Saccharomyces cerevisiae S288C: one gene and its partners. The protein of the gene in region 3 interacts with the protein of the main gene of each other region in a biochemical or structural test. Each region holds a gene or a part of one and is shown on either strand. Other genes may lie near its edges. The genes, in order: UBA1, ASI1, UBC7 and SSM4.

Region 1 (8,838 bases), on a different chromosome or scaffold from region 3:
CTCAATTGGAAACACCAAAACTTGGATCATGCTTAAGTAATCTGGGATATGATGAGACAGATCAGTTGTCCTTTTACGAAGCAATCTATCAAAAAAGATCGAACGTTAGAACAAGAAGGGTTAAAGTTGAAGAGGAAAATATTGGGTATGCACTAAAACAACAAAAGAACACCGAAAGTTCAACAGGGCCACAACTTCTGAGCATTATTCAGATTATCAAAAGAATGATTAAAAGCATAAGATACAAAAAAATTCTAATCTTGGGACTGCTATGTTCTCTTATCGCAGGCGCCACAAATCCCGTCTTTTCATACACATTCAGTTTCTTACTAGAAGGAATTGTCCCATCCACGGATGGAAAAACTGGCTCTTCACATTATTTGGCGAAATGGTCGCTTCTTGTTCTTGGTGTGGCTGCGGCAGATGGTATTTTCAATTTTGCTAAAGGATTCCTATTAGATTGCTGCAGTGAATACTGGGTTATGGATCTTAGAAATGAAGTTATGGAAAAACTGACGAGAAAGAATATGGACTGGTTTTCTGGTGAAAACAACAAGGCTTCTGAAATTTCTGCTCTAGTCTTGAATGATTTGCGAGATTTGAGGTCTTTGGTCTCTGAATTTTTGAGTGCAATGACTAGTTTCGTTACCGTATCAACGATTGGACTAATTTGGGCGTTAGTATCGGGCTGGAAGTTAAGTTTGGTTTGTATTTCGATGTTTCCACTCATAATTATATTTTCAGCAATATATGGAGGCATTTTACAAAAATGCGAAACAGATTATAAGACATCTGTTGCTCAGTTAGAAAACTGCCTGTACCAGATTGTCACTAACATTAAAACCATTAAGTGCTTACAAGCTGAATTTCATTTTCAATTGACCTACCATGACTTGAAGATAAAAATGCAACAAATTGCCTCCAAACGCGCCATTGCCACAGGATTTGGTATATCTATGACAAACATGATTGTCATGTGTATCCAAGCTATTATTTACTACTATGGCCTAAAGCTGGTTATGATTCACGAGTACACCTCAAAGGAAATGTTTACGACTTTCACTTTGTTATTATTCACTATTATGTCATGCACTAGCCTAGTAAGTCAGATACCCGATATAAGTAGAGGCCAACGTGCTGCCAGTTGGATCTATAGGATTCTTGATGAAAAGCATAATACCCTAGAGGTTGAAAACAATAATGCTAGAACAGTGGGAATAGCTGGTCACACCTACCATGGCAAAGAAAAAAAACCAATCGTTTCAATTCAAAATTTGACATTTGCCTATCCATCTGCACCTACCGCCTTTGTTTACAAAAACATGAATTTTGACATGTTTTGCGGACAGACGTTAGGTATCATTGGTGAATCAGGCACAGGAAAGTCTACACTTGTGCTTTTATTAACAAAACTTTATAATTGTGAAGTAGGCAAAATTAAAATAGACGGTACGGACGTAAATGACTGGAATTTGACAAGTTTAAGAAAAGAAATTTCAGTGGTTGAGCAAAAACCTTTATTATTCAATGGAACCATCAGAGATAACCTAACTTATGGTTTACAAGATGAAATACTTGAAATTGAAATGTATGATGCATTAAAATACGTAGGAATCCATGACTTTGTAATTTCATCACCTCAGGGCTTGGATACACGTATTGATACAACTTTACTGTCAGGTGGACAAGCGCAAAGGCTTTGCATAGCCAGAGCACTTCTGAGAAAATCAAAAATTCTGATTTTAGATGAGTGTACTTCAGCCTTGGATTCTGTCAGCTCCTCTATCATCAATGAGATCGTCAAAAAAGGTCCACCTGCTCTACTAACAATGGTTATAACGCATAGTGAACAAATGATGAGGTCTTGTAACTCGATTGCAGTTCTTAAAGATGGTAAAGTGGTTGAGCGAGGTAACTTCGACACTTTATATAATAATCGCGGGGAATTATTCCAAATTGTTTCCAACCAAAGCAGTTAAACCCAAAGAAAATATAAAACAAAAAACTAAAACATACTCAAATATTCGAGACTACATTAATAATAATAATAATAATAATAATAATAAGTTTTTACCAAAGAAAAAGTTGTCAAAAGTCATACATATATATATACATATTTAATGTATATATTTAATTTATTTTTTTATTTTGGTTAATTAGTTACTCATAGATGAATGGTAATGAAAGGAACTTCAACATCCTCTCCTTCCTTGTCATCTGCGCAAATTTCGAGAATCATTGTAGATACATGTGCCGGAATATCTTTCTTAGTCACTAATTTAACCAATTGAGTTATTGGTAGATTTAGTCTTTCTTTCAATTTCTTTGGAGGGAAAAATGAGGCATAAAGAAGAGAAACGCCATAAGAAAGCATTGTTATTTCTAACCCTTCATCTTTTTCAAAATGTTCAATTAAATCACTTAATTTAATATCTCCCTTGATATCAAATCTATCCCAAATTTTATCATATTTCTTGTTGTTATATTCTCCCTTTGGTGAAGCAATTGGTTCCGAAAAACCGAAAAATGGCAAAGCTAAATTAACAAAGCCATTCTTATATTGCTCAATATCTGTCTTGTTGTCAATCAGTTTATATAATTCCAAATTGACCAAACCAGTAACCAAAGAAGTGGTTGTTGCGATGGCAGGAATAATACGGCCAGCTATGAATTTGGTCTTTTGGCGATCAGCAGTTTCGATGAAGTAGTTTTGAGCTCTACAGTTAGAACAAGCCGTTATAAATTCAATATGATGATTAGTGTCATCGTCTTTCTCGAAATCTACAGGCTCCAGTTTAAAGCCAGCCAAAGTAGAAGGATCTGGTAGGGATGATACCAGCTGATCAATTTCATCTGAGCCATTAGCCGCGTTGGCATTTGGATCCGGATCATCGTCATTAACTTGAATTTTCAAATTGGCATTTGGAGTAAATTCTGGAATTATCATATGATCGATGACGGACTTATACTCGTCCACGTTGGGTTTAGAATTAGAGTCATCACTTTTAATACCATAATTATAAGCGCGTAAACTAGCACCTGCTACGACAAAATGGAAGTGATCGTTATTGTAAATATCAAACTCTAATGGTGTTGGAGCACGCTTAGCACCGGACCAAAATGGTTCACCGTTGGAAGTCTTGGCATCCTTGGGGAAGTTGAACAGTAACTGCTTGATATCATGGTTGAATTTTTTTTCAAATTCTAACCTTGCCCATTTGATACAATCTTCAAAATTGTGTGGTTTACTAGATAGAGAATCTGAGATGGATTCTAGAACTCCCTTGACATCCCCGCTTTGCTTTAGTGTTTGCTCAACGAAATTCGGTTGTGTCAAGTACATATTAACGTTTTCGGCGGAATCAGTGAAGTAACCTTGGAAAAGAGATTTGGCCCAGGCAATGGTGTGATCAATCTTGTTTGGGAAAGAACGTAGGGTACACAATGGGATAGACTTTTCTGGTGGGTCTCTAGAAGAAGAGTATGATTCAGTCAATCTTGGAATGATGACTTGAGTATTACCTTTAGTACCTAGGGTACCAGATTCTAACAGTGGTTTTCTATAAAACACACAACGGCGATCTACGTATGTTCTTGCGTCGACATTGTCTAGAGCGTTGGTGACAAAATCCAGGCTTTCCCAAAAGGAGTCATTAAATATTTCCTCAGTTTCTGGCCCCACTTTATCAATTTTAGCATTTATCTTGCCCTTCAAATCGGGGTTCATAGCACAAACGGCCTCTGCCGCTACTTCAGATTTGTTCTTTCCGACATCCTTTGGTCTAAACAAGAACTGACGGTTTAAGTTGGACTTTTCGATCGAATCGTTATCCGTAACAACGATGTAACCGTCGGAGCCAGAACCAAGCCCCAAAAGTGCCCAATTTTTCAACATCTCACAACCAATGGCACCAGATCCGACAAGAAAGACCTTTGAATTGGCAATCTTTTTCTGAAAATCCAAACCGAAAACCGCGATTTGATTATCGTAACGAGAGTTTACTGGCTGAGTAGTCTTCTCATTTCTTGGGAAGTTTTTAGGATCTGGCAATGATTCCAAGGAATCAAAGTACATAAATTGCTTTAGCGGAGTAAATTTACCAGAACATGCTTTTAACACTTCTTGTGCCACAAGGCCACCGAAAAATGCTACGACACCCGGTATGTCACCTCTTGCCTGATAGGAAAGCTCTTTGATTAAATCTTCATTAACATCTACACCTTCACCCAGAACCTCCGGTTGCTGAACGGACAAATCGGTGACCAACTTGATTAATTCATTGGCGTCTTCGTCATTCATTGTTCTTGGCAGTTCACCATTATGTCTAACGGCAAACTGATGTAAAGCCTGAAATCCCAAATGCAATTGAGCAGCTCTGTCAAATTTAGCAAAATCCGAAAAAACAAACTCAGGATTGGACAGTTGTTGTTTCAAAGACTTGAATGAGATTTTACGGGGTACTTTGACTTCGGTGAAGATACCGCCCTTCTTATACTCGCCATATTCTTTGACTGAACCAATTCTGAATGCAAAGGGCCCCAAAACCTCAACTTTAAAAAGGGTCCCATCATTCAACTTATCAAGACCTTCTACTTCGGAGAACCTGACAAAATTTCCGTCTTCCAACCCGTGTCTGTTATCATCTAGCATGGTCACTGTTCCATCGGGCTCGATGTCTGAAACCATACCAGTGCGAGGTTCTTCACCCGTTGGGTCCAACACTGTGAACTCGTCACCTAGGTCTACGAAGGTGTTACCAAACAGCCCTCTTGTCTCCGAGGAAATGAATCTAATACCGGAGGAATGGCAAAATTCGTTGATTTTCACCTTATCTTCCAAAGAAACAGTGTCCGTAGCGACAACGACCTGGAATTGACTCAATTGGGTAACATCGTCTAAGGAATCCAGCACATTAACCGGGACATATGCGTTCAACTCTGCCAATTTGGCTCTGGTCACATCTCCTCTCTTTTGACCAATATCCTTTTCGGTCAAAAAGAATTGGGTTGATAAGTCTGCCAATTGAACCGGCTCAGGGTCAAAAACGGTCATAGATTTGACACCTGCCAACACAACGTTCTTCGCTATCTCAACACCTAGCCCCTTCAAGCCGAGAATTAATACGTTGGAGGTTTGCATTTTCAACATTGCTTCCTTACCCAACACATAAAGTTGACGAGAATAAAGACTTTCATCGATTTCTCCGGCGGCAGAGAGACCACTATTATTGCTGCTCATAGCTATAGTTATATGTTCTTTGCTTTGCTACTAATCTTACTTTTTGTTTGCTTATATCCAGCGATTGGCGGTTGCTCATCCTACTTAAAGGCCCTTTTTGATCATTTTCTTTTACCTTTATTTGCCACCCGCACCTTTTGTCACACTACACGAGAATATGCCGCATGGAAGCGTAATGGCAATTCAAGAAAGAGCTCTAATATTATTTACAATCACATGAATACAAGATCATAGCTTAACAAGGAGTGGATAGTCAGTAAAGGCGCCCTAAGCTCTACTAAAAACTGGGCTTTAAAAGATGTTCCTCGTCACTTGAGAATCTGTTGTCCCTATCTGGTTCCTCATCATACAATCCACTCCATCGTTTCTCCCACCCTACTACAAACTAGTGAGGCGAACGAGAAAATAAGAAACACTAAGGCTCGCTTTTCCTGCTGGACAGAGACATGCATTAGTGTTTGTTGTTCTCGCGCCAGTCGCTGTTTTTGCTTGCAAGTGCGACGTCCTCTTCTTCTTCTTCTTCTTTCTTCTTTGAGATGCGTAACAACACAACTACATTTTGTATTTTCCTCCCTTTTATACTCCTCCGCTGGAGTATTTTTTCGTATTTTTCACTTTTTTTGCTTCTTATAGGCCTTTTTGAACTATTTTCTGTTAGGGCTTAAAGAAAGCGCAGCAAATGGCTGATTTTAAATGCTGTTTTCTCGAAAGCAATGCTGATGATGTACCACAAAGTAGTATTTGCGCTTAGCTTGTCGATATAAGTATGCCTTTGAGCCAGTATTAAACTTCCTACTATCTCTTCTGGACCTCACCGTGCTATTCATATCACTGACGACGGAAAATGCCTCTTGTAGTAATCATTGAATGATCATCAATGGCTCGTTGACTCATTCTAATCTATAGCAGATATTAAGGTACGCAAAAAGTTCGACAAGGAGCTGGTCAGTATTAACACATTACCAAATCTGTTTGGTTCTACATAGAACGCCATAAAAGTAAGAAAAAAATGTCTGTGCACGCTGCAACAAACCCAATCAATAAGCATGTGGTTCTAATTGACAACTACGATTCCTTTACCTGGAACGTTTACGAGTACTTGTGCCAGGAGGGCGCCAAAGTGAGCGTCTACCGTAACGATGCAATTACAGTTCCAGAAATTGCCGCCTTGAATCCCGACACATTGCTTATCTCGCCTGGACCAGGCCACCCAAAGACAGATTCTGGCATTTCAAGAGACTGTATCCGGTACTTTACTGGGAAAATTCCTGTATTTGGAATCTGTATGGGCCAGCAATGCATGTTTGACGTATTTGGTGGTGAAGTTGCCTACGCTGGTGAGATTGTCCACGGTAAAACGTCCCCAATCTCTCACGACAACTGTGGAATTTTCAAGAACGTGCCGCAAGGTATTGCTGTGACAAGATACCATTCATTGGCCGGGACAGAATCGTCCCTACCATCCTGCTTGAAGGTTACTGCGAGTACCGAAAATGGAATTATCATGGGTGTAAGACACAAGAAGTACACTGTAGAAGGTGTGCAATTTCATCCGGAATCCATCTTGACCGAGGAAGGTCATCTGATGATCAGGAACATTTTAAACGTCAGTGGAGGCACTTGGGAGGAAAACAAATCATCTCCTTCAAATTCTATTTTGGACCGTATCTATGCTCGGCGTAAAATAGACGTCAATGAGCAGTCTAAAATCCCAGGTTTCACCTTTCAAGACTTACAATCTAACTATGATTTAGGTCTTGCCCCACCGTTACAGGATTTCTACACGGTGTTGTCATCATCCCATAAAAGAGCCGTTGTTCTTGCTGAAGTCAAGCGTGCCTCTCCATCGAAGGGACCCATTTGTTTAAAAGCTGTTGCTGCTGAACAGGCTCTCAAATACGCAGAGGCTGGTGCATCCGCAATTTCCGTATTGACCGAACCTCATTGGTTTCACGGTTCGTTACAGGATTTAGTAAATGTGAGGAAAATCCTAGATTTGAAATTTCCTCCCAAGGAGAGGCCTTGTGTTTTGAGAAAAGAATTTATTTTCAGCAAGTATCAAATACTAGAAGCAAGATTAGCTGGAGCTGACACTGTCCTTCTTATAGTCAAGATGCTATCTCAACCCTTATTGAAGGAACTGTACAGCTACAGTAAAGATTTGAACATGGAACCTCTCGTTGAGGTGAACTCCAAAGAGGAATTACAAAGGGCTCTAGAAATTGGTGCTAAAGTTGTAGGTGTCAATAATAGGGACCTGCATTCATTCAACGTAGACCTAAATACCACCAGTAACTTGGTAGAATCTATTCCAAAGGATGTTCTTCTAATTGCTCTATCGGGAATTACCACCAGGGACGATGCTGAAAAATACAAAAAAGAAGGTGTCCATGGATTTTTAGTGGGTGAAGCCCTAATGAAATCAACCGATGTGAAGAAGTTCATTCATGAATTATGCGAATAATTGAAACTTACACGGTACAATAGGGAAAAAAACTTAACGTTGTAAGGGCGAACGCCTTCATGTATAGTAGCCTATAGAAGATATATATATATATATATATATATATATATGACCATGAAAGATAAAGTAAAAAAGAAAATAAATAGCTTGTTCTTCCCTCTGGGGCCGGCGTTCATTTTTTTATTTTTTTATTTTTTAACTTACTTTTTTTCTCGTTTTTATCATATTTTCGGTTTTACGTTTTGGATTTACAATAATCATCATTTTATCACATATAGAACTCATTAATCTCTTTTTAAAGGATCCGGCTTGGAAAATTTAGGACTCTGTGCATATTTCAAACCTTTGAATTGTTGTTCTTTATCATGCGTTTGATGAACGACCAAGAACCCAACGTCTACTAACTTAGGCCAGTTGACAAACTGAATACCGTTCTTAAACATGAATTTGGTTGAAAGCGCCAAGACAATCGACGCACCTGCAAAATACAGCAAATTCTTACTGCTGGTAAATCTATCTTTAGGAAAAAATATCGTAGCACCTAAAACGGTCAAGGCTGCGCAAATGATCATTGGGATCAGCTGAATATACACTGGTCTTCTGTCGGGGAATGGCGACTTGATAGAAGCGGTATGTGGTCTAAATCCACCAAGGAATAAATCGTATGAATCCTGTCTTGGACCATCAGTCCAATTGTTCTGGTAATAACGTGATGCTGAATTCAAAAAATCGTTGAATGCACCTAGACGTGTACGCTTACCGGTTCTTGTGAAATCGGTCTTCAAAGCTCCAGTGCCCGAATATGCCACACTAACTGCATCTGCATTATCAGCCCATAAGTTTTGGTAAGAAGTTAACAATGGAGCGTTGTCTTCCCAAGTGCTTCCAGTAGCAACGACATCGGCACTTTCAAACTCCTTTTGCAAAACCCACTGGGCTAAAACAGATTGAACGACATTTGTTCTGTCCAAACAATCCATACAGTTTGTTCTTACAACGGAATGTTGCTCATTAACAATTTCAACGGTGTTACCATTAGAGTCTATGACCTTGTGGAAGAAATCTTCGTTAGATAAACCTAATTTCTCCAGGTGATCAATTAACAATTTCACTCTATGCCATTGCATCTTACGAC
Region 2 (7,915 bases), 190 kb from region 3:
AGAGCTACCGCTGAAGAAAGAGTTGGCCGTCGTGCTGCTAACTTGAGAGTCTTGAACTCCTACTGGGTCAACCAAGACTCTACTTACAAGTACTTCGAAGTTATATTGGTTGATCCTCAACACAAGGCTATCAGAAGAGATGCTCGGTACAACTGGATCTGCAATCCCGTCCATAAGCATCGTGAAGCTAGAGGCTTGACTGCCACCGGTAAGAAATCCAGGGGTATCAACAAGGGACACAAATTCAACAACACCAAGGCCGGCAGAAGAAAGACCTGGAAAAGACAAAATACTCTGTCGTTATGGAGGTATAGAAAATGAAATAGTTAGAACCGTATATAGATCAATAATAATGCACTATGAACATTTTTTCAACCTGATTACTTCATCGTTCCTTTTCTTCGACTTATTTTTTTTTTATTATTCTTCGCTCTTTGGCAGCATACGCAATTTGAATTTGCAGTTTTTGACTCTTTTTTCCTTAGCGGAACGAACAATATTAATCATGCCAACTAAGTCATTGCAGAAGTCAACTTATCATTTATAAAGAAGATCCTACCCTACAATGTGTGTACCCTGATGTGCCCAGAAATGAATTGACTCCTCTCATAACTTGTTAATATTCGGATGTGCATATCACGTTCGGATCTATGTATATAAATGTACGCTCGTTTTAACCTTTAGTGTAGTACCTAAAATCTTTCTTACCAGCAACTAATAGCCCTTGAAGTAGTTTTGCTAGCTTGGACATCAAAGCACATATCACCATCAAATATGGCCAATTACACAAAAACCGCAATCCTATCCGTCTATGACAAGACAGGTCTACTTGATTTAGCCAGAGGCCTCATCGAGAAGAACGTTCGTATTCTCGCCTCCGGTGGTACTGCTCGTATGATTCGTGACGCTGGTTTTCCAATCGAAGACGTTTCTGCTATCACACATGCCCCAGAAATGTTGGGAGGTAGAGTGAAAACTTTACATCCTGCCGTTCATGGTGGTATCCTTGCTAGGGACATCGATAGCGATGAGAAAGACTTGAAGGAACAGCACATTGAAAAAGTCGATTATGTCGTTTGTAACCTATACCCATTCAAAGAAACTGTTGCTAAGGTGGGTGTGACTATTCCAGAAGCAGTAGAAGAAATTGATATTGGTGGTGTTACTCTATTAAGAGCAGCTGCTAAGAACCATGCTAGAGTCACTATTTTATCTGATCCAAAGGACTACTCCGAATTTTTAAGTGAATTATCCAGTAATGGTGAAATCTCTCAAGATTTGAGAAACAGATTGGCATTAAAGGCTTTCGAACACACTGCCGATTATGATGCTGCAATTTCAGATTTCTTCAGGAAACAATACTCTGAAGGTCAAGCTCAAATTACTCTACGTTATGGTGCCAATCCACACCAAAAGCCGGCTCAAGCTTACGTCAGTCAACAAGACAGTTTACCTTTCAAAGTCCTATGTGGTTCACCAGGTTACATTAATTTGTTGGATGCTCTAAATTCCTGGCCCCTGGTTAAGGAATTATCCGCCTCGTTGAATTTACCAGCAGCAGCATCGTTCAAGCATGTATCACCAGCTGGTGCCGCTGTGGGTATCCCATTGTCTGATGTTGAAAAGCAAGTTTATTTTGTTGCCGACATTGAAAACTTATCTCCCCTGGCATGTGCCTATGCTAGGGCCCGTGGTGCTGATAGAATGTCTTCCTTTGGTGATTGGATTGCTCTTTCCAACATAGTTGATGTTCCAACAGCTAAGATCATATCTAGAGAAGTTTCTGATGGTGTTATTGCCCCAGGTTATGAGCCTGAGGCGTTGGCCATTCTATCCAAGAAGAAGGGAGGTAAGTACTGCATATTACAAATTGATCCAAACTATGTTCCAGAAGCTGTCGAAAGAAGACAAGTATACGGTGTGACTTTGGAACAAAAGAGAAACGATGCCATAATCAATCAATCAACTTTCAAAGAAATTGTTTCTCAAAATAAAAATCTCACTGAACAAGCCATAATTGATTTAACGGTTGCCACCATTGCTATTAAATATACTCAATCTAATTCCGTATGTTATGCTAGAAATGGTATGGTTGTCGGATTGGGTGCAGGTCAACAATCTAGAATCCATTGTACAAGATTAGCTGGTGATAAGGCTGATAATTGGTGGTTCAGACAACACCCTAGAGTTTTGGAGATTAAATGGGCTAAAGGCGTCAAGAGACCAGAAAAATCTAATGCTATCGATTTATTCGTAACCGGCCAAATTCCAACAGAAGAACCAGAATTGTCTGAATACCAATCGAAGTTCGAGGAGATTCCAAAACCATTTACTCCAGAAGAAAGAAAGGAATGGTTGAGTAAATTAACCAACGTTTCTTTGTCATCGGATGCATTTTTCCCATTCCCAGACAATGTTTACAGAGCAGTTAAATCCGGTGTCAAATACATTGCCGCTCCATCTGGTTCTGTCATGGACAAGGTTGTATTTTCAGCTGCCGATTCATTCGATTTGGTTTACGTAGAGAACCCAATCCGTTTGTTCCACCATTAGATGGCATGAGTTCAGAGTCAATATGCCATAAATACAGAAATGACGGCAAATCGATGTATAGTTTATTCTTTCCTCCTCTAATGATATAATCGCCACTGACACTTTTATATATATACTAATGATACGATATGTTATAAGTACAATTTTAATTCGAACATTTCCCAAAGAAAAAAAACTTGATTTATTATTATGATGTTTATATGTGCAACACAGAAAGCTCTAGCTATAGTAATTAATGCTAGAGCTCCCAAACGAAAAACCTCTTTTAGATACCATGCAAAAGTTCTTAAACTATTATTTACTATCTGAAACAGGATGAACCTTACAGTACCCATGAACTTTACTCCTACAACATACGCAAGTGCTGAACCCACGTAAACCCAAAGAAATTCTGCAATCCTCGCAAATGGCAAAACATCGGCAGGGCCATAATACTGTATTTCTTTCATTGACTTTGCATACCGCGCAAGATAGATCAAAATCACTTTCTGTACCAAAAGTCTCATCTACTTCACTTAACTTTGTATCTAAGATAGACGCCCTTGTCAAAGTTTTATCTGACAGTAATTTTTGTTGAAGGATACGGCTAGTTGACATGATCCAATTATAATCAGTATGAACTTCATTATCTTCGGAAGAAAATAAATCCAGTAGGGCATCCCGAGTTTCGTTGAAAATCAGTGAATCTTCTTCCAAGTTTTCTTCATCAGAATCCCCCAGTGACTCAACTTCAGAAGGCTCGTAATCTTCAGAATACTCATCATCTGATGTGTTCAATAGTTCAAGTTCAATATCTTCTTTGTGGCCGGCACTATTATTGAGAGAGTTCGTTTTAGTTATCTTTAACATTTTTGATGGGTCGTTGTCGGGGATGTCCTCGTCCTTGTTATCTCTGAAGCCAAAGAATACTTGGCCTACAAGCTTCTTCATGATCCATATTATAGATTTTGGAAACATTAAAAAAAATCTTTGCTTTAATATTGATGAATTTTTCTTTGGGAAGCTGATGGAAGTGTTCTCTTTATACGGTTTAGAAAGTTCATTTAAATAACCGCTAATAAAAAATTTCTCATTAACATTATCCGGGATGTTAATAGCAGGAAATTCTCTTCGTATACCCTTTTCCATTAGTTCAGTTCCTGAGCATAATAATAGTGCGAATTTAGTGGCCATAGCAGAAAAATCTTCTTCTCCCGTGTAATTTAAGTATTTTTTCCAATTTCTACTGAGAGGGTAAAACTGTAAAAGTTCGCAAGAATTACGTGATTTTCCAAATGGATCCCATCTAATTAAGCATGATAATTTAAAAATCAGTAATGATAAGCAAATAATAGACACTGAAAACAGTTTTGGAAAGTGCCTAAATTTCACCGAAAATGGAAGGCTTTTCCAGCCGCCCTGCTTAACTCTTATCCCTAAGTAACAAATATGACAGAGGTTCATAATAGTACTAAAAAGTAGACGATAATTTCTAAGCCTGAAAATCTCCACCAAATGGATCAATATCCTGCTCAAAATAGCCATAGAACAGTCTATAATGTAATCAGGAGAATCTAAAAATTTAGTATTATTATTAGTCATTGTATAAAACTGAATCGAAAGTTCAAACAATGAATAGTCAGTGCCCTCCAAAGGGCTGGAATTCCGCATGATGGTAAATATGGTTTCGACACAATAAGAGTAAGCGAAAGCGTAGAATATATTCAGTAAAAATTTTTCTTGGGCAAAAGCAGGGTCGCCTAATATTTTGAAATCCTTACCCAAGGTCAGCGGACCTAAGGATACCATTGCTAATACAACTACTGCTGATACATGGAAAACATTACTCAACCATAACGGTAAAGTACGTCTGGAACCGTTGTTAAGGACGGCGTAAAATACAACGAACCGGTTCAGGACAATGGCGATTACAAAGCAAAATATGGCGTACGGGCTGAAAAAAAACCCTATTGTATCAAAAACAGACCTTAGAGTTGGGGGAATTTCTTCAGATTTAACGGTTTGCTCGTACTGCAAGTTCACAGCCCCAATAAAGGATAATCCAAGTCTATAAGGAAAGTTGATAACATTTGCGAAAGTGGAGTTACCTGAGATTACGGCTTGTGATGTTTGATTCAAATAGCTAAATGAATTTATGAACACATTTTCTGAAGAAGTGGAAGAGTTCATATTCTTAGCATAGTTTCTTTGTAAAAAGAAGAAAAAAACCCAGATAAAATTAAGAAAAATACCCCAAAGTGCAAATTGTCTATAAAATATAAAAGTAAGCAGTGATTATCTTCTTGAGTTAAAATTGTTGTGTGGTGAAAGAGTAATTTTAGTACTTCCTTCTATTTTTCTGTTCAAAACAATATAGTTTTCGTAATTGTGTTTTATTGTATTTTCCAATGTTTTTCATATTGCTTACTCAACTGACTTCAAAGTTTGATTCGTAGCTTCTCAATATTTCAACATAAAGGGGCGCCCTCAAAGGAATACGCGAGAAAAAAATAATGGTTGCTAAGAGATTCGAACTCTTGCATCTTACGATACCTGAGTATTCCCACAGTTAACTGCGGTCAAGATATTTCTTGAATCAGGCGCCTTAGACCGCTCGGCCAAACAACCACTTATCTGTTGAAAAGGTGTGACTATAGCAACTATAAGTTGTTATGAGTTGAATAGAATTTAAACTCATTATGGGATAAGCTGCTCGTCTATGCATTGGTAAAAGCACCTCGTTAATATGTAAAGGTCAAAAGGTCATATCAGCGAATAATAAATTTGGATCTTCCTATACTATATAAGAGAGGTTCACTGAACGCAGTCCGATCGGTTTATTATTTGAGATATAGGTGAATTTTGAGATAATTGTTGGGATTCCATTGTTGATAAAAGATTATAATATTAGGTAAACAGAATATACTAAAAGTTCTCCACGAGGACATAGGAATCCTCAAAATGGAATGTATATTTTTACATACTAATATTACGATTATCCCTCTTTCTATTTTATATGTTTCATTATCCTATCATATTATCAATCTTTGCATTTCAGCTTCTTCTAACTTTGATGACAGCTTCTCATAATTTATATCATCATCTAACACCGTCTATGATAATATATTGATAATATAACTACTAGTTGATAGACGGTAGTGGATTTTTATTCCAACATTATTAATCGTGACTAATATAACAAGTTCTCTGGTGGTTACCATATATTTAATGTAAAGACTCGCATGACACATATATATGACTACCACATAAATGTTTAATTTGAAAAAACTTCAGCTCTACTAAGGTACCTGTTGAAAATATCGAAATCCACAAGGACAATAATTTTGCTTGGTAATATTATTATTTTTCTTCCATTGTTTATGTTGATAATTAGAGGTTAAAAATTAGTATTAATGAAGAAGTGAGTACTGATCTTCTTATACTAAATAAGAGAGGTATATAAAACACACGCCGATTGGTCATATTAATTATGACCAATATAATAGTGATTCCGGTAGTTACTATACATTGATGTGACGACTCATATTCCTCATATATGTACCTACCATAACATGTTCAACTAATAGGTCTTTAACACAGCTTCAGTATTGTCTGAGCTTCTCGTTTAACATTCCTTCTGCAATAGGCGCAATCACACTTAAACGTATACGAGTTGTACATTAATATACGATGTAAGCATTAGATTGTTACCATAGCAACTCATGTCACTATTAATTACTCTCGTTCCAACAGTTTATTATATTATCAACCCTGTTTTTCATCTTCCATGGAATTTGGTAACTGCTCCTCACCGATTTATGTCATCTTGCTATTATATGGTAATATACCAAATGTGAAGGTATGCAATTGATATTTTTAGATTTTACCTTTTGGCAAAAAATCAGCACATTAGCAATAAGAAACCGTTTTATCGTTTTGTTCATTTTAATGACTTCACGGAAATTACTAGTTATTAATAGTATTTTACTCGTGAAAGATAATAATCCTTCCAATGATGATTACACTCAAGATACCCTTAAGATTTTTTGGCGTCCATAGAAAACTTCACTATTTATAGAAAATCCTGAGTGCTTCTTTCTTTGTTTATATACTCTGTCATCCACTATTCTACGTGAATATTGTGCGAATATTTTGATAATTGTGAACTCCATTGTTGATCAAAGGCTATAATGTTGTGTATACAGAATATAATAGAAGTTCCTCTCGAAGATATAAGAGTCCTCATAATGGAATCGGTATTTCTACATAATATCACTACTTTTTTTTTGTCCTTCCGCTTTATATGTTTCGTTATCCTATCACATTATCAAATGACTTTGTGCCACTGTGTTTTGACAAAATTACTGTAATATAATCAATAGTATTTACATGTTTGTACCAGAAGTACTTGCATCGCATCCAGTTCTCATGCAATATAGTTGTATACCATGTCGTTGAAAGGAACCAGAGTAAACACTTCTACCAGTATTTCTTTACGGTTCGGATCAAAACCATCACTCATTCGGTCATTCTTACCGTACGATAAACCAAATTACAAGGAAAAGTATCCCTAATTAGAGATCACTGCATCCGTAATAGTTTTTTTTCTATTTTGGACTTTTGTAAAAAAGGGATTAGGGATACGTTGCTCATAAAAAAATTGACGAAGATTTTAGATAATGGCAAATAAAAATGAAATAGTATCAATATACCGAAAAATTAATCACACTCAATGCGACTGTGATAGCTGATAAGTGGAGCTCAGAAATATTCAGAAGCGTAAGAATAATGAAAGCAACCATTCAAAGAGTAACATCTGTATTTGGAGTTCCCCGAGCATCTGTATTCGTGCCAAGAATCAGCACACCATTTATTTTGCATAATTATATCTCTAATGGCAGAATGGACCTTTTTTCCAAAGAATTCCACAATGGCCGCGTATCCAAATCTGATCTTTGGTCAAGCAACAAGGAAGAGGAGCTCTTAGTATCTCAAAGGAAAAAAAGACCGATCTCTCCTCATTTAACTGTTTACGAACCTGAAATGAGCTGGTATCTTTCCTCTTTACATCGTATATCTGGCGTTTTACTGGCTCTTGGATTCTATGCTTTCACAATTACTTTGGGTGTGACGACAATAATGGGAATGGATACGACTTTTCAGGATCTAAACAAGTGGTATCACGAAAAGATGCCTAAGTGGTCCCAATGGGTGGCCAAAGGCTCTGCAGCATATCTGTTTGCATTCCATTTTGGTAACGGTATAAGGCATCTCATCTGGGATATGGGCTACGAATTGACCAACCGTGGGGTTATAAAAACCGGATCAATCGTTTTAGCCGGCACACTCGTCTTAGGAACGTATTTACTGGCTCAGTAAATGA
Region 3 (2,520 bases):
TCAATCAAGTGCCGATGCAAGTCCTGTCATTGTTTCCAAAAGAGTGTCAGAGATTCTCAAAAACGACGTACTGTACGGCTTGGAAGAGTTTTTCAAATCCAAAGATTTCCATAATGATATAGTATTGGCCACAGAAAATTTGAGGTATGCATCCGATGGAATAGCTAAGATAACAGGACAAGCTATTGGTATTGAGGAAATCTTAGATTCAGTGTTCAGCAAATTTTGTATAGGAAAATAACCTAGTTACAATCATCGTGTATATAAATAAAAGAAAATTGATTAACGCTTCGGTACAGAGAGGTGAGAGTAGAGGGGCCCCTGATTATACACCAACGAAATGGAAATGGTTTGAATTCCTGAAAAGCCAGGAAGACATTGAGATTTTAACATATTTATTATGTGACATTTGCTTTCTTTTAGATGGTAGATATGCTTATTTATGTATATAGAGAACAGTTAAAAGGAAGACCAAATGATCATTAACCTGCTACCTGCTTTCAGAATCCTAATGATTTCAAAATGGATAACTTTACCTGTCTCTCAAATTCAGGTCTATTATCTCTCCACAAGATGCAAGCATCAATGTTGGCACCACTTTCGATATTGGGCTCACTCAACATGCTCATAACACTTAATAGAATTTTTTCTACACTTTGCACTGGCGACCATCTTTCTTCCGCTAATTCGTACATGTTAGGATCATCACCAGGGGAGTGTAGAATGGATATGCACACTTCCCCATTTGGATAAATATTTGGATGTAGTATGCTGGGTGTGAAAGTAAGTTTAGGTGGAGATAACGGATAGTCTTTAGGAAACTCTAGCTTAGCATTAAAAACACCATCAGCGTATGGCGTATCTGGAGGCCCTTGAATTAGGCAGTCCCAAATGAATATGTTATTCTCCGATTTGGGACCAGCCACTATACCAGGTGGAGAATCTTTAATTAACTGTTGAAGCTCCTTGAGGAGACGTTTCTGAGCGGTTTTCGACATGCTATGCCCTTCCAAATTACACTATTACTAGGGAAGTTCCTTTTAGGATAATCTCCTTCGTACGCTAAACGCCAGAGTTTACTTTGGCGCTTTTCGAGCTCTTGGTTTAGAGGCTGTAATCTCGTTTTCGGGTAATGGCGAAAAGGAGTTATAAGAAGGATCTCGAGACAATAAGCTGCTGCATCTTCGTGAGGTAGATGCGATGAGGCGCCTTGTTTTAAACTTGAAACAGTCTGGTAAGTTCTTCAAGCTCTATCAGAGATGATAATATTTAATGGGAACAAATATGCGTGTGCATCGTGCATCAGAGGGCATCGCTCTTCAACATGCAGGCATTCTCACCGAATGCTAATTAAGGTGAGAACTAGAGGAAGACCTTCACCCATGGCTATCAGAGACGCTATTTTAGTAGACTCTACATCGCAAAGTACAGAATACGAAAATGGTGCACAAATTGAAGGTGACTGCTGCAGCGCAATGAATCAACAGCCAATACTGTTTGTACGTGCCTCTGCTGTTAGAAAGGCAAGAATGATAAACGGAAAATTGCATATATTAATGGAGGAAGGTTTCACTGCTCATGAGCCTAAAGATATTAGCACATTTACCGATGATGGTAACAAATATATCACCGAAACGGAGTTTCTTAGGAAACACTCTCCCAAAGCTCCGGCAACAGGAACAATATCTCCGGACTCTACCAAGTCATCTTCTTCAAGTGAGAAGAAAGAGCGAAGCCGGCTTCAACAGGAGCCTATACGACATTTTTCAAACTGCTGTAAGAAAGATAAATCACAGAACCCAGCTTCTAATGGCAAGACGAACAAGGCACCGTCTGATGACATATTTACGCCATACGGCTCCTTGGAATCTACGTCCGCTTTTAACGATATTTTACAAGAAAACTACAATAGTTCTGTTCCTGGTGCGCATGACAGTTCAGAAACACTCACCCCACAAAGTACAACAACGATTGCTGCTCCTCATTCAAGCGACGTTGCTTCGAAAGTTGAAGTCCTGACTCATAAGGGCATTTTTTTAAGCACGCAGTGCTCTTGTGAAGATGAAAGCTGCCCATGTGTTAATTGTCTAATCCATAGAAGCGAAGAGGAACTGAATTCTTATATTCAACAAAGTGGTGTTCCTTTAACCAATATTGGTGAAGCTCAAATTACTGATAAGATGATGGATTATTTGGATGATTGTAAATGCACTGACAAGGAATGCATATGTCCTCCGGATAACTGCACTTGTGATGGATGTTTTTCTCACTCTACAAATATAATTCCATTTGAAAAATTCTTTTTCTATGGAATTCTGAATGCAAGATTAACAAGGAAAACTCAAATAAAATTCAAAGGTAAATTGGTGCCGTCAAAATATTGGTGGGATTTTTTGAAGTTGCAAGTGCCATTGATGACAGATGCTCAGTTAGAATTACTTGACATTCATGCGTGGTTTCAAAAATTAGTCTCTAATTATGCACCACATCTAAGCGATGCCACCACTTCATAAAATCACG
Region 4 (9,760 bases), on a different chromosome or scaffold from region 3:
AGTTGGTTGATATTGATGATGTGGCATTTAGTAGTCCAACTAGGGGTATTCCAAGAACCAGCGCGACAAGCAAGGGATCAAATGCACAACTTCTCTCTAATTATGGAGATGAAAATAACCAGTCTCAAGATTCTGTTTGGGATGAGGGCAGAGATAATCCTATACTCTTGGAAGATGAAGACCCTTGAAAGCACTCGCACGCATAGTTTTATATTTTTTATTCTTTTCCTCTTTATTTTTATTTTTTTAACATTCTCGCATAATAATAGTAACAGCAATAAAATAACTAGTAATATACATACTCACATAAATAGGCATATTTTTTATTTTGTTCTTTCGTATTCAGAATGGTAAATTTTTCTAATGAAATGTTTTACAAAAATTTTTTTTCTATAATTCTAACAATAAGAAATAAAACAGTGGAAAAACATATAACTTAATGTAGATATATATATGTAAATATGCTAGCATTCATTTTAAATGTAAGGAAGAAAACGCCTTTAACTTTCATCTGGTAAATTTTCTAAAGCTCTACCCTTAGTGTAAACCTCGTCTTTTACATTCTGTACAGTACTTTTGAACCATTGAATGAACAGCACAGTTGCTTGGAAAAAGAACGTAAATGACTCTAATGCTATCAGTAGTCCGAAATAAATATCTTGCATCCTTGTCCATGTTGGGAATGATTCGTTAAGCGATAAAGTGAAACTCCTGGATCCATGGCTAATATCGATAATCTGCTTTGTAGAAACATCACGTAAAAATACTAAGGATAAAATAATAATCGGCAAGACGTAAATTACCATGTGCAGGAAACCTTGTTTAAACAGTTCCAAAGCCATTGTTTTCAAGAAGTTCAATTTACTAGTATTTCTGTTTCTGAAAAATAGTTTCAATGACTTATATCCGGTTCCGAAATTGACCATTGACGAAATGATCCAAACGACGAATAACAAACTCTCGTCATATTTAAACCATTTGGAATTACCAATAGTGTATGAAGAATTGCCAAACACTCTGATGGTGAGATAATTGTAACAGGCTAGTATACCATCGGTTAAGACGACCCACGAAACCATAGTTCTAATAACCGCAATCATGATAGCTATAAACACCATCAGGTTATACTTCACCAACATACTATCAAATATACTGTTAAAGATGGCCATGAAAATTCCTTGACCCTCTTCCACATTATTGATATTATTAACAGGGGCATTGTTGATATCTCTCTCTGGTATATCGTGTTCCACTTCCTCTACTTCGTTTTCGTCAACGGCATGTTCATCGAGAGTGTTTTGGCCTTCTGTAAAATGAAGAATATCCTTAGCAATCTTGGATAAACAAACAGATCCGACACAGACATAATAAATGTTCAAATAGGAGTAGCTAATGTCAGAGAGTTCCTTCCATGCAACATAGACCTTATTTCTTTCACCTAACAATAGCTTTACGACTGGAAGAAAGCCGAAACTACAAACAAAGTTTATTAAAGCTTGACTAATAAATGTAACACCAAGCATTAAAATGGAAGCAAATAACCAAACCAGGCCAAGCAATGTCATATAGCGTAAACGGAAATCTGGAGGGACGTAAACGATATAATATTGATCATATTCCGTGTTTTGTTCGTCTAAATAACCAAATTCACCAGCAGCACGTTTGTTTCTCTCTTTAATTCTTTCCAAATCTAATGGTTTCAACAGCTTATCATCCTTTGTAACGGGGACAAACATTGTTTGTACATAATTTCTGGATACTATATCAGAAGAAGGAACACGCATTAAAACGCCATCGGGGACAAAATAAGCATGAACGTCACGAACTTGCCCAAACAATTCTTCTGCTTGTTCTAGAGTCTTTGGTTTAGTGAAAAGTTCTTGGTTTGACCATTCTGCATTCTTGGCAGCAATGTACTTGTAAAACAAATTGCGGTAAACAATATGGCCTCTCTCTGTTGGGGTATCTTTACCTAAGATAAAGGATGATAAACGTAATTTTCTTGAACATAACTTAAAAATTGTTTTCCAATACCTTTCCAATAAGGGTTTAACGTAAGAGCTAGACTCCAGGATCCTCTTCGTAAAATATAAAGTTAGCAAAATTGTATTGAACTTCCATGAAATAATTGATGTTGGTTTATAAGCTTCAGGAACGGATAATAAGTTCGATTTGAGCATGAATGGGAAAAAAATTCTAGTATGGAAGCCAAAACCTAAGACAATAAAAATCGCATAAATAAACATGGATAAGCAAAGCCTTGATAATTGAATACTCATCGGATGAATTAAACTATCATGCAAGATCTTAATATTAGGATCTTCTGGAGATCTGATAAAGAATAGAACACCTGGTCTAATGATATTTTTCCTAATCATTCCGATATATTTGGCAAACCAATACATGTAGAGAGTACCAATCGTCCAGTATACGAAAAGGGAAAATGGAGGCCATATTGCGCATATTGAAGGAACCCAAAGCATCCGACTATTGGATGCCAGGATTGGGCAAAATAATGAGAAATCTAGCATTACACCAGCTAGAATGGGGAATCCAGCCAATTCGATGAAAAATAAAGTGAACACCTTGAAAGTGCATTTGAGTGCAAATAAAATCTGGAAAATCAGCCTTCTAGTAGGGTTGCTCATTCCGTTCTCACGGCCATAACCCCTCGAGACAAGATTGGATGAAGCACAAACGATACTGACTGAGGTTAGATACGTCGTTAAAGCAGGTAAAGCTCTGATGAAAATTGAGTGCTTCATGGTGTTTTCAGTGTAGCCGTTGTAAAGATAAATGATGTCATGAATTAAGTGGTCTGAAATCCAACTCATCGCGACATCTACTTTAGGGACCAGTTTCGTCAGCCCATTGTAAGCTATATGAGCGCCAGACAAGTAGTAAAGATGGCACAACCCACGCAAAATAACCTTAAATATACCAAAATAAATTTTCAACAAACCGAACCCAATAAAAGTTGGAAACAAATAGGAAATTGCCAGGTATATTGCGGTGAAAACTACGGCAATTATGAAATAAGCAATGACATTCAACAATTTCAATTTGAGATTTATCACTAGAGGGCCTTGTCCTTGATCGTCTGGGTTAGCCTGTGCTGGTGGCACACCAACAGCTGCGCCAAAGTCTTGTTCGTCTTGATCGACATTTCCAGCTCTGTTTTGGGCAGGTGGTGGGATGAAAACCGGAGCGTTGGGCCTGTTTATTGCGTTCTGTTGAGCAGCGATTAGGTCATCAAATTCATTTTGCGCACGACGATTTGCCCACATGTCAATCGGATTGGGCTCTATATGATCACGGTAATCTGCCTCTTCTTCTGGTTGCTGCTGTTGCTGTTGCCCCTCTGCTTCTTCATCTTCTTCGTTGTCACTTGAAGACCCCGGTAAAATTCGTGACGAATCATCACCTGATGGTAAACTATTGTCAGAGTCGTTGTTCTCGTGCTCTTCCGTAGCCTCATCATGATCTAATTCGTCTACGTGGCGAAGGTTTTCAAAATTCCGATGGTCATTAGGATCCTGAGGTGGAACGTTATCGTTTCTGGGATTAATAACATTATTATTATTATCTGCTGCTGCGGCTGGCATGTTCAGTCTATCATGACCTTGCTCTTGACGATTTTCGTCATGAGCTCTCATTTCCCTCGCTAAATATTCAACCATTCTATCATCCATCATGGGGAATCTTTCCTTCAAACGTGATTTCAAGTCCTTGGGAGATAATCTTGGACCTATCTTGTGGAAAACCATTTTACTGAAAACATCCTCTCTTACTATCATATCGTATTGAAAGTACAATGCTATATGTAGTATCACTATCATAATAAATTGTAAAGACGTAAACGAATGGTTTTGTAAAAGTTGGTAAAAAATTGCTCTCGTGGTTAATTCTGGAGTTGCTGACTGATCATAACCATAAATCAAACTCTTTAGGAAATCACCAGGATAAGGGGATGATCCATCTAGCATCATGGTGTATAATTTTCCAAACATGTTCCATACCAAAGGAACACCGATAATATATAGTACAGCGGCCAAACCAATCGTTAAAGCCAAACGAGCTTTTTCGAAAAATGTCAAGATGCTCTTGGATAGTAGTAAAGAAAAAGGTATCTTTTCGGGCATGTTTTCCGCATATATCGTTTTGAATTGAATGGGATAGTGACAGATGTCACATTTAACATCCGCGCCTGGTTTTGAAATGTCTATATTTTTTGAAGCTACCCATTCCAACAGACAGGATTCATGCATGTATTTAATTGAGCCCCTGCATTTACAAGGATGGAAAAGAGGATTGTCCTCAGTAGCTTCTCCACGACAAATACGGCAGGTGGCGCCGGATGGCGCATCATCATTGAAAGTGGCGGTATCTGTTTCCTCGTTTGCCACCTTATGCAGTTCATCTCTTAACCTGGAGACATTAACGTCAGAATCAACATCCATGACTTTCACACTTCTAGTCTCTTTGATTCAATTAGTGGTACTCTTGGCTAAAAAAACAGTTTTTGAAATCAGTAACAAAGAACTATTCTTAACGTAATCTTATGGCTTCATAGATCGGTCATAATCATCTTTTCAATGTCCTCAATCGATGCGTTTTCAACCAGTTTTCCGTCTCTAATGATTTAATTTTTCTATTGAATTGAAAATGGTAAAAAGATAGCCCTGTAGGGGGCTCGAACCCCTAACCTTATGATTAAGAGTCATACGCGCTACCGATTGCGCCAACAAGGCTATTTCGTTGGAAAAACTACTTATTTTAGGAAGTAATAGCACATTTAAGATGCTTGTTGGAATGAAACTTTAAAATATCATCTGTTTAGTACTATTCATGTTACTAATTAAGATATGGGTGAATTTTGAGATAATTGTTGGGGGTTCCATTGTTGATAAAGGCTTATAATATTATGTATACGGAATATACTAGAAGTTCTCCTCGAGGATCTAGGAATCCTCATAATGGAATCTATATTTCTATATACTAATATTACGATTATTCCTCATTCCGTTTTATATGTTTCATTCTCCTATTACATTATCAATTTTTGTATTTCAGCTTCCTCTAACCTCGATGACAGCTTCTCATAATTTACGCCATCCTCTTACACCGCATGTGATGCTATTACTACTAAATAGATAACATTAGAATTTCATTCCAACAGCTTTAGTCTGTTTTAATAAACGCAACAGCACCATAATGTTATTAATTTTAATAAAGCCAAATTATGGCCTGCTGATTTCTTTTCATTGGTAAAAGTTCTATCACCCGTTCCCCATTAGTATGATAACCGATAAATAAACTCTATTACCTGGTTTCTTCGTTCCAGGAACGTTTATACCCTGACTACACATTTCTTTTGAAAAATAGGCCAATTGAACAATTAAGTTAGAAGCGGTTAGAAAAAGGTATAATAGGAAAAAATGCATCCAATTTTTACAGTTGAACCACTTGGGGGATTTTATTCTCGTATTGTAGCGGGAGCATTTTATCTTCGTACATCTTGGAAGCTGTAGATTAATCTTATTCCTATATGCTCCTTCAATCCACACAGCAAACCCCCAAATGGAAACGATCACTGAGTATGTTATAAACCAGCTTACGCTTATACTATTATCAAAATTCAAAAGATTGAACGGGGAAAATGGTAGAAATGAATATTGAAGCATTTTCGCAATGAAAATTAACCGCATTGTTTTTATAGTAATTCTGATGGCTAACGGCGGTAATACAGCATCCTTACGAAGAGCGGGAATAGTTCATTTGCCCTCTTTGATGGTTTGCATAACTGCGTTGTTGATTGTCTTAGGAATGGAAATATTTAACAAATATACCTATAATGAAAAAAGGGTCCTTCTTTTTAATTATTATTGGCAGCGAAAAAGTTGTCCCAGCTTCTACTTTTTTTCCCGTTAAAAAAGGAAGCGGCGGAAGCTGATCTACTCTCTAATAATAGACTACTCACTCGCATCTTGGTAACGAGTCCCTTTAAGATCTTGGTACATAAAGTTTGCTGCAGCAAAAAGGGCTTATTTGCGCATTCATGATATTAAACAACACCCTGTTTAGCGTGTTAATGATCCTTGTTTTATGCCAGTATATTCTGTATACCTTATAATAGAGTCAACAGTTAAATCCTAATCATTACCTCAGGACTTACCTATTTCTGAATATCATGGTCCACCATTCTACCTCAGTGAATTGATTGAACCGCACCATTGGAATTGTCATGGTGAGCCAGCGTGCTACAACTTCATGATTTTACGAGCTGAAAAAACACGCCCTTAGGCATAAAAACTCAATGGAAATCTGTAAAACAAAATAAATTTCGCTTTTTAACTTGGCCTAATGGGAATACTTTAACAATTGAACCTGTCACTAAATCAGAGGAAGTACATGCCTAATTACTCAAAGCTGTATTTAACTAATTTACCTATACTATCGCCAGGCATTCAAGGATGAAGACATGCGTCAATGCAAATAGTGACGGCTGCTGCATTAAAGAGGTGCTGCGTGGTGTAGAAAAGGCAATAACATGGACGATGCAAGGTTATTCAGACGCGTTGTTTGTATGCCATTTCCAATGATAATGTTGGTTGCGTTATATAGAAATGTGTTAGGAAGAGATTCTACAGTTGATTGCAGCTTTGACGTTATACTTACACCTTGGATAATGGCCAGTATGTTTTCCAAACGTATGGTGAATTGGTCTAATCCACGTCAAGCTGTTTTAAAAGTATGCAGCGCAGCCGTGACCTCCCGGATAGTTGCCAATTGGTTGTTTACGATGAACATATTATATACCAGTGGTGAAAAGGGTTTTTACTCGCTAGCAACAGCTGTGGTAATTAAAACGGTCACTGATGGGTTTACGGTGATACGGGTTTTCTCTATTCACCTGAACGAGTCAGTATATAGCAAGCCATTACCATAACATTGGGTAACGTCGCACGCAACACAGCTGCGGGTGTGTGTGGTGATTGGTTAGTCAATTGGTCATTTGGGCTGGTAATAGGGCATGTTCCCCTTACAGCTTGTACTGTCTCATTGGGGTTTGCTCTTATTGCTGGAATAATAAATGGAAAGGTTAACGACGACACAAATGGTTTTCGACGACCAAAACAAATTAGCAAATGGCAACCTTTTGTATTAGGGCTAATTAATGTAAGCGATGTTACCATTTTGTCTATTTCTGGCGGTGGACTGGTAGCTTCTTCATGTGGAGGTGCAATAGGCTATGCTACTGTCATTAAAACTGTTGCTACCACAAATGCACGTTTCGCGATTACTGAGGTGATCAAGGAAATAGTTATTCGTTATTCATCACAATTAAATGCAGAAAAAGTTTGTGAAGAATAAAAAACTCGAGCCGGGTGGTAAATTGTTTTAGTACGGTTAGCATCGGTTTAGTACCTGTACCAATATGTGTCACTTTTGTTATTTCTGCAGGCGATAATACTTATAATAAACGCATACATGATATCATAACTGCCTTTATACGGCACCTTACAACTAGCATGGGCGTTCAAGTGGTGGAGAACTATTACCTGTTCCTGAAATAACAGAATGAATCATCAATAAGGGCTTGTCTGTACCTCAGGATGATTTGAACAAGTTCCACTTACGCTAACATGAGGATGAATATCGTACTTATACTATGTAAACTGGAATAGAAATATTCCGAACGGTTATCCATTAGAGTGTTAGCCCTCAAACCGAGACTCTCGATAATATTGAATAGAAGATTTTACCACTAAATTTAGTGTGTATTTATGTATCTTAATAACAAACTATCCAACGAAGACGCAAAAGATACTATCCGCCCCGTAATCCTTTTGAAACCACTCAAGCTTATGGTTCACGTTATAGAACACAGGAGACGCTTGCATTATTGGTGATTCTAATATAGCTTTCTATTCCTCTATGAAAGGCGTCTGTGTTGGTGTAAATAGAAGAGGTGCCTGGTCACCTGACGCCTTATTTTGTGCAGTTACGATGTTCGAGTAGATTCGCTATCGAATTTATGCTCAAAATCTAGCTAATCCTCTTATTAGATCTTGATATGTATATATGTATGAAATTATAAGTTCTAGCTCTAGTTTTCAGTATCTTATTTATTTTTCTTTTTTTACAGTGTTAGAGGCCCATTCCCTGCAAATTTTTCTCTTCATATGAACGTCAACAAAGCTTGGAGTAAATATGATCTCACCATTAGGGTTACTTCCTATCAAGTTATCCACGTTGGTGGCTTTATTTAATGCGATTTCTTTTAGATAGTTTCCTTGGGATATTATCTTCCCATCGTTACTCTCAATTGGTAAATATTGTAATTTCTCGAACGAAGTGAACACTGCAAGAACAAAGAGTATCAATCCTGCATACGTTTCATACATGATATCTTTAGGTAACTTGCTGATTGCACCTTGTGCATTATTAAGCGAGTTAAGTTTTAATAAGTGATGAAACTCATAGCTTGAGAAACCAGAATGAAATAACACCAATGCAGAGACTGTATAGAGAAGCTTGGAAACAAACGACATCTCTTGATAATTGCTTTTTTGTATCTCGGTAGGGCTTAATTACGATCGCTTTTTAGATGCTACAATTAACATGCATAACAACTATCTGAGTTGACTTTATTTTATATTCAAAAGTAGATTTTTCTGCGCTGCGTTTACATCGCGAGTTTTCGAAGAAGCAAAGGGCGCTTTGATGACGATTGAATGGGCTTGGAAAATACATAGCCGAATATCATCCAGCGAGTATAGTCTAATGCGAAGGGATATTTGAAGTATTTATGATTAATCAAAAACTGCTAACGAAGCTATGTATGTTCAAAAGAAAGATGTGATATATATTATAGATCTTATTGTTTTACAAAAGAGCAATAAGTCTGACGTATATCTTTTCCCTTAATCTTGTGTGATTTCGTCGCTGTTGTCTATAGCATCTACCACGGTTGGGTGTTCCTCAATTGGTGCTAACTCTGAATTATTTTGCGAACTTTCTTCAATAGGTTCTAGATCGATTGTCATGGGAATATCTGGATCATTATTTTCAGTATTTGCATGGTCGGTTTCTCGTTCACTGTTGGGTTGTAAAGGCGCTTTTTCCCTCTGTGTTTGATTTGATTTTGCTTTCTGTATGTTCTTTTTATTAGGTTCTGGATTTTCCATTATGGTATCATCTACGATTTTTTTGAACAGCGGGCCAAGCTTTTCTTTGTTTAGTGCCACACGGGAAGCAAATCGTTCATCTAAAATATTCAGTTTCATTAGTCCCTTCAATTTAACTGTGAATAAAAGGAATTCAGTTTCAATATTCTCGAAAAACCCGGTTTCCGGCAAATCATTTAGGTTGGCGTCTTCATCTGCTACCCTTTCTAATTGGACGTCAACTTGCTTAGCGAAAAGACTCTCCAAATATAAAAATATTTTCAAAAGCACTTTGGAAGCATTATCGTGAAGGTAAAATGGAAATTGTTCACTCATACTATATCTCCATGTTGTAGCGTCTGCAGGCAATTTGAGCTCAAATATTTTTATTGCAACGATTATATCCATTAATGAAGTGCAAGCTGACCATTTTAAGTAAAACAAGCTGTTTATGTTTTCAAATGTTTCGTTTGTAGCCGCCAATGAAATAACGAGTGTGTTTAGACGACCTATTATAGCGGCAATTGGTTTCCAAACTGATCTAAGATCTTTTGAAATAGAATTCTCGTAATCCCTTACTTTCTCTATTA

Evidence for each region.
Region 1: of the proteins of UBC7 (region 3) and UBA1, one has a biochemical effect on the other in vitro, tested with the Saccharomyces cerevisiae proteins (3 studies listed by BioGRID).
Region 2: the proteins of UBC7 (region 3) and ASI1 form a complex in vitro, tested with the Saccharomyces cerevisiae proteins (one study listed by BioGRID).
Region 4: the proteins of UBC7 (region 3) and SSM4 form a complex in vitro, tested with the Saccharomyces cerevisiae proteins (4 studies listed by BioGRID, with this or other methods).

Annotation. Positions count from the first base shown.
Region 1 is NC_001143.9:35,564-44,401, reverse strand, and holds UBA1 (E1 ubiquitin-activating protein UBA1), read right to left. Parts: upstream 5,240-8,838; coding exon 2,165-5,239; downstream 1-2,164. Other genes in the region: ATP-binding cassette a-factor transporter STE6, read left to right, coding at 1-1,979; TRP3 (bifunctional anthranilate synthase/indole-3-glycerol-phosphate synthase), read left to right, coding at 6,249-7,703; phosphatidylinositol-3-phosphatase SAC1, read right to left, coding at 7,988-8,838.
Region 2 is NC_001145.3:502,140-510,054, reverse strand, and holds ASI1 (putative ubiquitin-protein ligase ASI1), read right to left. Parts: upstream 4,723-7,915; coding exon 2,848-4,722; downstream 1-2,847. Other genes in the region: 60S ribosomal protein eL15 RPL15B, read left to right, coding at 1-321; bifunctional phosphoribosylaminoimidazolecarboxamide formyltransferase/IMP cyclohydrolase ADE17, read left to right, coding at 775-2,553; protein SHH3, read left to right, coding at 7,321-7,911. UniProt on the Saccharomyces cerevisiae protein: E3 ubiquitin-protein ligase which transfers ubiquitin to substrates promoting their degradation.
Region 3 is NC_001145.3:317,158-319,677, reverse strand, and holds UBC7 (E2 ubiquitin-conjugating protein UBC7), read right to left. Parts: upstream 999-2,520; coding exon 501-998; downstream 1-500. Other genes in the region: MSS1 (Mss1p), read left to right, coding at 1-241; MAC1 (Mac1p), read left to right, coding at 1,260-2,513.
Region 4 is NC_001141.2:295,550-305,309, forward strand, and holds SSM4 (E3 ubiquitin-protein ligase SSM4), read right to left. Parts: upstream 4,461-9,760; coding exon 501-4,460; downstream 1-500. Other genes in the region: SUMO protease ULP2, read left to right, coding at 1-188; EMA17 (Ema17p), read right to left, coding at 5,280-5,708; EMC5 (Emc5p), read right to left, coding at 8,130-8,555; cohesin subunit IRR1, read right to left, coding at 8,928-9,760. UniProt on the Saccharomyces cerevisiae protein: E3 ubiquitin-protein ligase which accepts ubiquitin specifically from endoplasmic reticulum-associated UBC6 and UBC7 E2 ligases, and transfers it to substrates promoting their degradation.